Coturnix japonica: one gene and its partner. The protein of the gene in region 2 interacts with the protein of the main gene of each other region in a pairwise test. Links are inferred from orthologs where the notes say so. Each region holds a gene or a part of one and is shown on either strand. Other genes may lie near its edges.

What was found.
Region 1: the proteins of PRMT3 (region 2) and RPS2 interact in binary tests that used the Homo sapiens proteins (3 or more experiments, as listed by UniProt). The link is inferred for Coturnix japonica from reciprocal best matches to the Homo sapiens genes PRMT3 and RPS2.

The regions. Positions count from the first base shown.
Region 1 is NC_029529.1:6,101,597-6,105,539, reverse strand, and holds RPS2 (40S ribosomal protein S2), read left to right. Parts: upstream 1-1,360; 5' UTR 1,361-1,386; coding exon 1,387-1,542; intron 1,543-1,663; coding exon 1,664-1,753; intron 1,754-1,979; coding exon 1,980-2,087; intron 2,088-2,340; coding exon 2,341-2,514; intron 2,515-2,593; coding exon 2,594-2,753; intron 2,754-3,065; coding exon 3,066-3,157; intron 3,158-3,251; coding exon 3,252-3,332; 3' UTR 3,333-3,376; downstream 3,377-3,943. Other genes in the region: NDUFB10 (NADH dehydrogenase [ubiquinone] 1 beta subcomplex subunit 10), read right to left, coding at 3,918-3,943.
Region 2 is NC_029520.1:1,703,800-1,707,447, reverse strand, and holds part of PRMT3 (protein arginine N-methyltransferase 3), read right to left. Parts: intron 2,192-3,648; coding exon 2,070-2,191; intron 303-2,069; coding exon 203-302; intron 1-202. UniProt on the Homo sapiens protein: Protein-arginine N-methyltransferase that catalyzes both the monomethylation and asymmetric dimethylation of the guanidino nitrogens of arginine residues in target proteins, and therefore falls into the group of type I methyltransferases.

The sequences.
Region 1 (3,943 bases), on a different chromosome or scaffold from region 2:
GCGCACTCTGATGACGTAAGAGCAGAGTAAGGAAGCGCCCTCCCTCAGTGTCACGTGGTACGGAGCTGCTTCTGTGTGTGTGTTGTGGTTAATGAATGGATGTTAACGAATGGACGGCGGATGGAGCAGCCTCCTGCCCGTCCTGGCTGTTTAACAGCACCATCCCACACCCTTCAGACCCCACACAGGGCTTGTGGACTGTAAGAAAGCACAACAGGACTCGAATAAGCGTTCAAACGAGTCAATCTTTATTGAAAGCACTCCGCTCCGTTGGTACGAGCGTTCTTTTATCCACATCCCGCACATTTTCTTAGTATTCCAACCCTAAATCATCATCCGCCCTTCACATGAAGGTGCTTTTGGTCCTATCTTCACATGGAGGATCCCAGCCGGGCTGTTCCACCTGCAGGAAGACTCGGAGCTCACACACGGTGCTCACACACAGCCCACATCACCCTACAATGCCGCCCCAGCCGCCCCTCATTGCCGTTATGGGAACACGGGTTTCACTGCCCACACACCGTCACCGTGGGCGATACGCTCTGCTGCTCCCTTTGCTGTCGGCACCGTTATCTCACCGGAGGCCACGGGAGACCAAAGGTGATTTTCAGACCGTGCCAAAGGCCCCTCATTCAGTACCCACCCCCTATCATAGTATCACAGTATCGTGCGGGTTGGAAGGGACCTTAGAGATCATCGAGTCCAACCCCCGGGATTCGAGCCTCTGTGTAGCAGAGCGGCACTTCTACCACCTGCGCCACAGGGGATTCGAACCCAGGGCCCCCAGTGTTGCAATCAGCACTGCCTACAGCCAGGCCCTCAACAAAGCCTGAACAGCTCTAAACGCCGCCAAAAGCCAAGAGAATCAAATAGAACCGAACGAGCTGCGCCCACCCACCCCCACGCAAACAACCCCACTCACTTACGTCCGAGCTCATTGGAGCGCAGCTCCACGTGTGCGCAGCTTTATATTCTGAGCCTACGCATGCGTAAGCTCGGCGCATGCGCACAGCTTCCGCCCGGCCCTCCCGCCCCGCACTCTGTATAAGTAAGCAGATCGCGCCCCCTTTGCGCTGTAGTGTATTCCGCATTCAGCGCGCGGGGTTGACACTTCAGAGAGGTGTTCTCGCGAGAACTTCCTGGGTATAAATACCTACCGGCGGTAAGTGGCGGCCTTCTACTATTGAAACACGTAAGTATGGCGGGCGATGGAATGGCGTCTGCGTGCGGCCTCCGCTCCATCCGCGCCCATCGGCGCCTCCTGCGGCTCGGGGCCGGCCGTACCTCTCCGGATGGATCCCGGCCGGGCTTTGCGGCCTCGCCGTGTGGTTATTTCGACCTGATGGTGGCGATGTTCTGACTAATTCACCTCTTTCTATACAGCAAATGGCGGACGACGCCGGTGCTGCGGGAGGAGCAGGAGCCGCCCGAGGGGGATTCAGGGGCGGCTTCGGGACCGGGCTGAGGGGCCGCGGGCGAGGCCGTGGAAGGGGCCGAGGGAGAGGACGGGGAGCCCGAGGGGGCAAAGCGGAGGATAAGGAAGTAAGTGGAAGCAGCAGGGCAGGGTTATGTCGGGCTGTGCCCTGTAGTGCTGCCATACAGCCCCCCCACCCCATAGGAGCTGCTGTAAAAGCCCTTTGTTGTTTACTGCTTTCTTTTGTAGTGGATTCCTGTCACCAAACTCGGTCGCCTGGTGAAGGATATGAAGATCAAGTCTCTGGAGGAGATCTATCTCTTCTCCCTTCCCATCAAGGTGAGATGCTGGGGATGCTCGGAGCTGGTGAGCAGCTTGTAGCAGGATCTGAACTGTAAAGCTGGCATTAGTTGCCTTATTTATTACTTACAAAGCTCAAGTTGAGCCACTTTGCTATTGATTTTACTCCGGTTTGTAGATAAGAGCAGCGAGATTTGTGTGTTTTTTCTGTGTTATTTGGATATTGCAGCTTAGCAATGTGTGATTAAATGGTTGAATCTTACAGGAGTCAGAGATCATCGATTTCTTCTTGGGGTCTTCTCTAAAAGATGAGGTGTTGAAGATCATGCCTGTCCAGAAACAGACTCGTGCTGGTCAACGTACCAGGTTTAAGGTAATTTTGTTATGTCTTTATTCTTCAGGGACATCCACAGCCTCTCTGTGCAGCCCATTGCATCACCCTACCAGACTCTGTAACTTCATAAGTTGTAGGAGCTACTTAATAGCTGCTTCATTGTAGTGTGCTGTAGCTGTTAAATATTAGTATGTGCTTCTGGTTATCTGTGATGAGATCCTGCTGAGTTGTTGTGCTGAGAGAGCTCTCCTGTATGGCAAAACCTCGGTTGAAAGCTTCCCTTTGATTTTAGGCTTTTGTTGCTATCGGAGACTACAACGGCCACGTTGGTCTGGGCGTTAAATGCTCTAAAGAAGTAGCTACAGCTATTCGCGGGGCCATCATTTTGGCTAAATTATCCATCGTCCCGGTGAGACGAGGATACTGGGGGAACAAGATCGGCAAACCTCACACTGTGCCTTGCAAGGTAAGAGCATCTCGCTGTGCATTGCATGTGAGTCACGTTGTGTGTGTGCTGTGGAAGCTGTAACCTGTTGTGTTTGTAGGTTACTGGGCGCTGTGGGTCTGTCCTGGTGCGTCTGATCCCAGCACCTCGAGGTACAGGCATCGTGTCTGCCCCTGTTCCTAAGAAGCTGCTGATGATGGCTGGAATTGATGACTGTTATACATCAGCCAGGGGCTGCACTGCCACGCTGGGCAACTTTGGTAAGTGTGAGGTTATTGTGTTGTAGTTCAGCTCTGTGTGTGTTGCTGTTTTCATTACTGAAAGGGAAGTAACTTAAACCCGTGTTAAATTGGAAGCTCCTCATCTCCCAATCTGCGCGGTTGCACTTTTGTGAAGTAGTGTAACTGTCGTATATGGAGAGAGAAAGGAAACTGAATTTTAAGAGTATAACACAGGGATCCTCTTCTGGTCTCTCTGTTCCCTCTGAAATTCTACACTTCTGGAGCTGTGTAAGTGTGTACAGGAGCTCATTTCTCTAACAGTGACGTGCAATGTTTAACTTGTTTCCATAGCTAAGGCCACCTTCGATGCCATCTCCAAGACATACAGTTACCTGACTCCTGACCTCTGGAAAGAGACTGTATTCACCAAATCTCCTTACCAGGTAAACATGCAGCTCTTCCTTCAGTGGGTTACGATGCTGAGAAGGTTATGACAGTGGTGTACATAAATGAAATGCTGTTTTTCTTTCTATCCAGGAGTTCACTGATCATCTGGCTAAGACCCACACCAGAGTCTCAGTGCAGAGAACCCAGGCAGCTGCTGTGGCAACTACTTAAAGTGGTTTTTGTACAAGACAATAAAGTGGACAGTGGACAAGAAATTGGTTTGATTGGATGCTTTGTGCGTTGGGCAGATCGGTTACATCTGTGCTTGGGATCTAAGTAGGCTCAGATCTGTGGGAAGCAGCCTGAACATCTGCTGGGTAGAATAGAATGTTTTACACTAACCCTTGTTAATCAGGTATTAAATCCTGAGCGGGGTTTGTAACTAAAAAGAGGGGAATATAATGTGCCTTTATACTCCTTTCACAGCACATTTACTCTGAGGGTGCTCCCTAATGATTTGTGGTAGTGGAGAAATCCAGCAGGGACACCCCCAGGGTTCCACAGCTCATATATATGGGTGCCTGGAGCTGACTTTGTTCAGAGGGTGGTAGCAGCCAACTGGAATGCAGAGCTGGAAAAGGAAGAATTCTAAGATTCTTTTACATACCTCTGCAAAGAATGAGTCTGTGCTAATGGATGGTACGGCAGATGTTTGGGTTTGCAAGTTTATTATAGAACATCACAGTTCACAGGTGTAACACAAGGATTTGAGAGAAGCACCAATGAGGGAGGTGCTAATTAATTCCATAACCGGATCTACTGAGACGCGTTTTCTTTTGCCT
Region 2 (3,648 bases):
ATGAAGAATTTTATTTGAATACCACATAATTCAGACTGTTGTTCCACCTCCCAGGTTATGAAAAACACTGCTATAAGCACAACGTCTTGTTGGTTTAAAAAGCAATCCTTCAAGAATCATTTTTCAGACTTTCATAATGAAATAATGCATTTTTTTTCCCTAAGAACAACAGTGCTTTGAAAAGAACATTCATACGCCTTACCATCCATTCAGATATAATTACATCCACTTTCTCCAAAGGCAGATCTACTTCTTCAATTCTTCCTTTGATTAATGTAATAGTATTTTCAAGTTTATTTAATCTGCAAGTCATAAAATAAGCCAGTTAGTTCATATTTCCATTAGATGGTGTCAACAGAGATATACTGATGTCTCTACATGGCATTTCTTCCCTCCTCCCCCAAAAAAGGGCTAGGAGACAATATTATTCTCATTAGTCATGTTTCAGACAGAACGTTTCTATAGGTCTCCAAAAATTTCAGCACATTAAATGTCAGGCAAAGGAGGCAGGCAGTAGAACTGCATATCTCCAACATCTTGTGCATGCAAATGTACAGACTTCAGAGGCCAGGAGAAGAAAGAAGAAGCCAATTTACAATGATAGTCCTTTTTATTTAGAGCTGTTTTAGTTCTTTCTTTGACCTTTGTAAGTCTGGAGTGATTAGAGTTACTCCACAACGAAGGTGTTGTCCTCATTGGGATTTTTGCTGAAATTATCTGCAATGTTTAAAAACTTGAGTAACCAGTATTACAAACAAGGAATGACACATACATTCTGTAAAAGGAGGAAGGTATTTTTGAAGCTAAAACTGCATGCTAGTTAAATTGCTAGGTACCTATCCCCAAAGAAATTTATCTATCTGCTGCAGCTCCCATCTGTGCCCCTTCCCCCCACTGCCTGACATCTTACTCTCTCATACTGACTCTCAATGCAAATGAGTAATCACATTAAAAATTCCATTTAGAAGACAATAGGAGAAAGATCAGGAAAAAAAAAGGAGGGAAAGGGTCAGAGGACTGCTTGAACACGTGGGCTGTAGGAAATATCAATTAAATCCTTCACATGGGACAGCCTTCCCTTAGAAGAGTAGCAGTTCATCACTAATAACACACTTAGTTTGTAAACAGGAGTCAAACAAGTTCAAAGGGAAAAGTAAAATGTTAAAGAGCCATGACTTGTATCAGTATTCTAAGAGCAAAAAGGATGTAAAGATAACATTGTTAATGACACTGCACAAGGACATAATAAACCAGTATTTATCCTCAGTATTTTTTTAATTACATTTTAAATTGCAATTGTATCATATAAAGAAGGAGTTTACAAATAGTAAAAAAACCAACTTGGATGCAATTTATGCACTCCACGTTGCAACTAGTACTTAATATGGCACTTTTCTTAAGCAGGTATTTATTTAACAGAAAAAGGTTACAGCATCTGAGTGTGATATGTGAATGAAAATCCTTAAGTGCTCAGACAACTTTGTTTTATTTTCACACAAACTCACAGCCTCCCATATTATCCCACAAAGGTAAATTAGTGAAACACAGAATGGATAAATAAACTATTAAATGAGAGGAAAACCATCCAGACCATGAGATTCTAAAGAGACTTTGTATTACGTTTCTCAACTAAGTGACAGCCAGGTATCAGAGGTGTCCCTCAAGATTCAGTAGTAAATCTGACACCAATTAAGCAACCTAGATGATGGAACAGAATGCAGAGTTATAAGATTTCTAGATGAACCTCGACTGAGGAAAGTAGATGATAAATTACAGGGTAAAGACTGTAGAAATGAGCTGATAGGAACTCTGCAAAGGCAAAGGCCACCTCAGCTGGAATAATCCCACATAGCAAGACAGATTGGTTCTTGAAGGTTAGAAATCAACTCTTGTTTGCTTTTCTCCATTCTGTTCTAACAAGGGGTGCCAGTGAACAATCTGAACATAGGCAACCAACACGAGTTTGTAGAAATAATAACCAGCTGTGTCATAAATACAAGATTAGGAAAAATATTTTAATAGCTTTTTACAGCAATATTTACCATATGTGTTTCCCAGAGCTTTCCTACCTAATGATGTCCATGGCTTGATAAATGATTTCAGATTGGTCTACTCCAATTACTTTCTTTGCACCTGCTTTGGCAGCAAACATCGAGAGTATTCCAGTACCACAGCCAACATCCAAAACAACCTGGAATGAGTAAGCAACATATTTTTACTTCCATTTATTTCTTTTTCTCTGATTTTTCTACATGTCCTTCTACATCAGAGAAAGAACACATTCTAATGGAAGAAAAAGAGAAAAGGTAGCATCAGATCTTCCTATTACATTCAGATATCCAAGTCAAATCACAACTGTGACTTCAGATCTTCTACAGGATCCTTTGACTTTTACAGACAGGTAATAAGGCAGACTAGCTCCCAGTGCTGATGAGATCATTTGCACAAGAAAAATCATTGAAATAATTACTTAGGAAACAACTAAATGTTACATAAACAGGGGAAAGAAAAAAATTAGAGCCTGAAAAACTATTAGTGAATATTCTAACAACTGAATTTAGCACATTCAGACTTTATGGTTTCTCCTTAAGTCTACTGAAAAACTTGAATTATTTCCAGTATCTTAATTCCAACTATAGCACAAGATGATGTTGTATACATAAACATACACAAAGCCAAAAGCCTTTATATTTTAAGTAAATCTGTTAAGTAATTTCAACAGGTGTAAAAAACACAAATTAATTCTCCTACATTGCTCAACAAAGAACATCTGAAGTCGCTGAAAACTCAGATCTATTTCTTAACCACAGACTTCTCAACACTGAGAATGCATTTTCTCAACTATCAGTTTTTATCTTCCTCATTGGCTATGCCCTTCTATGTTGTTCTTCTCCAAAGTAAATTCACACAATGGTTCCTGTCTTACGTGTTAACATTTCTGACTTGAAATCATAATTCCATGCCTTCTATGTCTCATTCTTCCCTTCACCTACAAAAACTCAGTATGATACTTAAGAGGTACACATGCTTCAAAAGAACACAGAAAGAAAGAAAATGCCTTGTAATCCATAATGCTGGCATGCCTTACCTACTGGAACTACTAGAGGCAGTAATCAAAAAGATCATCCATTAGAAAGGAGTACCAACTTATTTCACTAGCTCTCCTCAGCACACATTCCACTGTTGTGAAATGGTCTATGTGTAGCAAAGGCTACAGAAGTGCCTGGGCTGAAATCTTCTGGAGACAGGAGTAGAAAGTGAATAGAATGTTCCTGCAGCTGTTGAAATCTCATGCCCCCAGAATTATCTGTTCTAGTACTTGACCACGCTAGTTAACAGAACTGCTGAGCCATGATAGCTGGAAGTCAGAGCCAAAAATAAACCTCTGCAAAAGAACGCTCTTGACACGCAGTTGCATGAAAAAGAGCAATCACTGCAAATGGGGAAAAAGAAATCAAAATGGACAACATTTGGACAGCTGCCCTGGTCACTTAAAAACCCAGATGGAACTCATCTAGACTTAGGCAGGGGATGGGGATGGAGAAAAAGGCAAGGGAGCGAATATGTACAAGCTGGAACATATCTGAGGAAGGGAAAGTCAAGCAGAATGATCACCAATTAGCCTAAGGACACGGGTCTGCAGCCAAC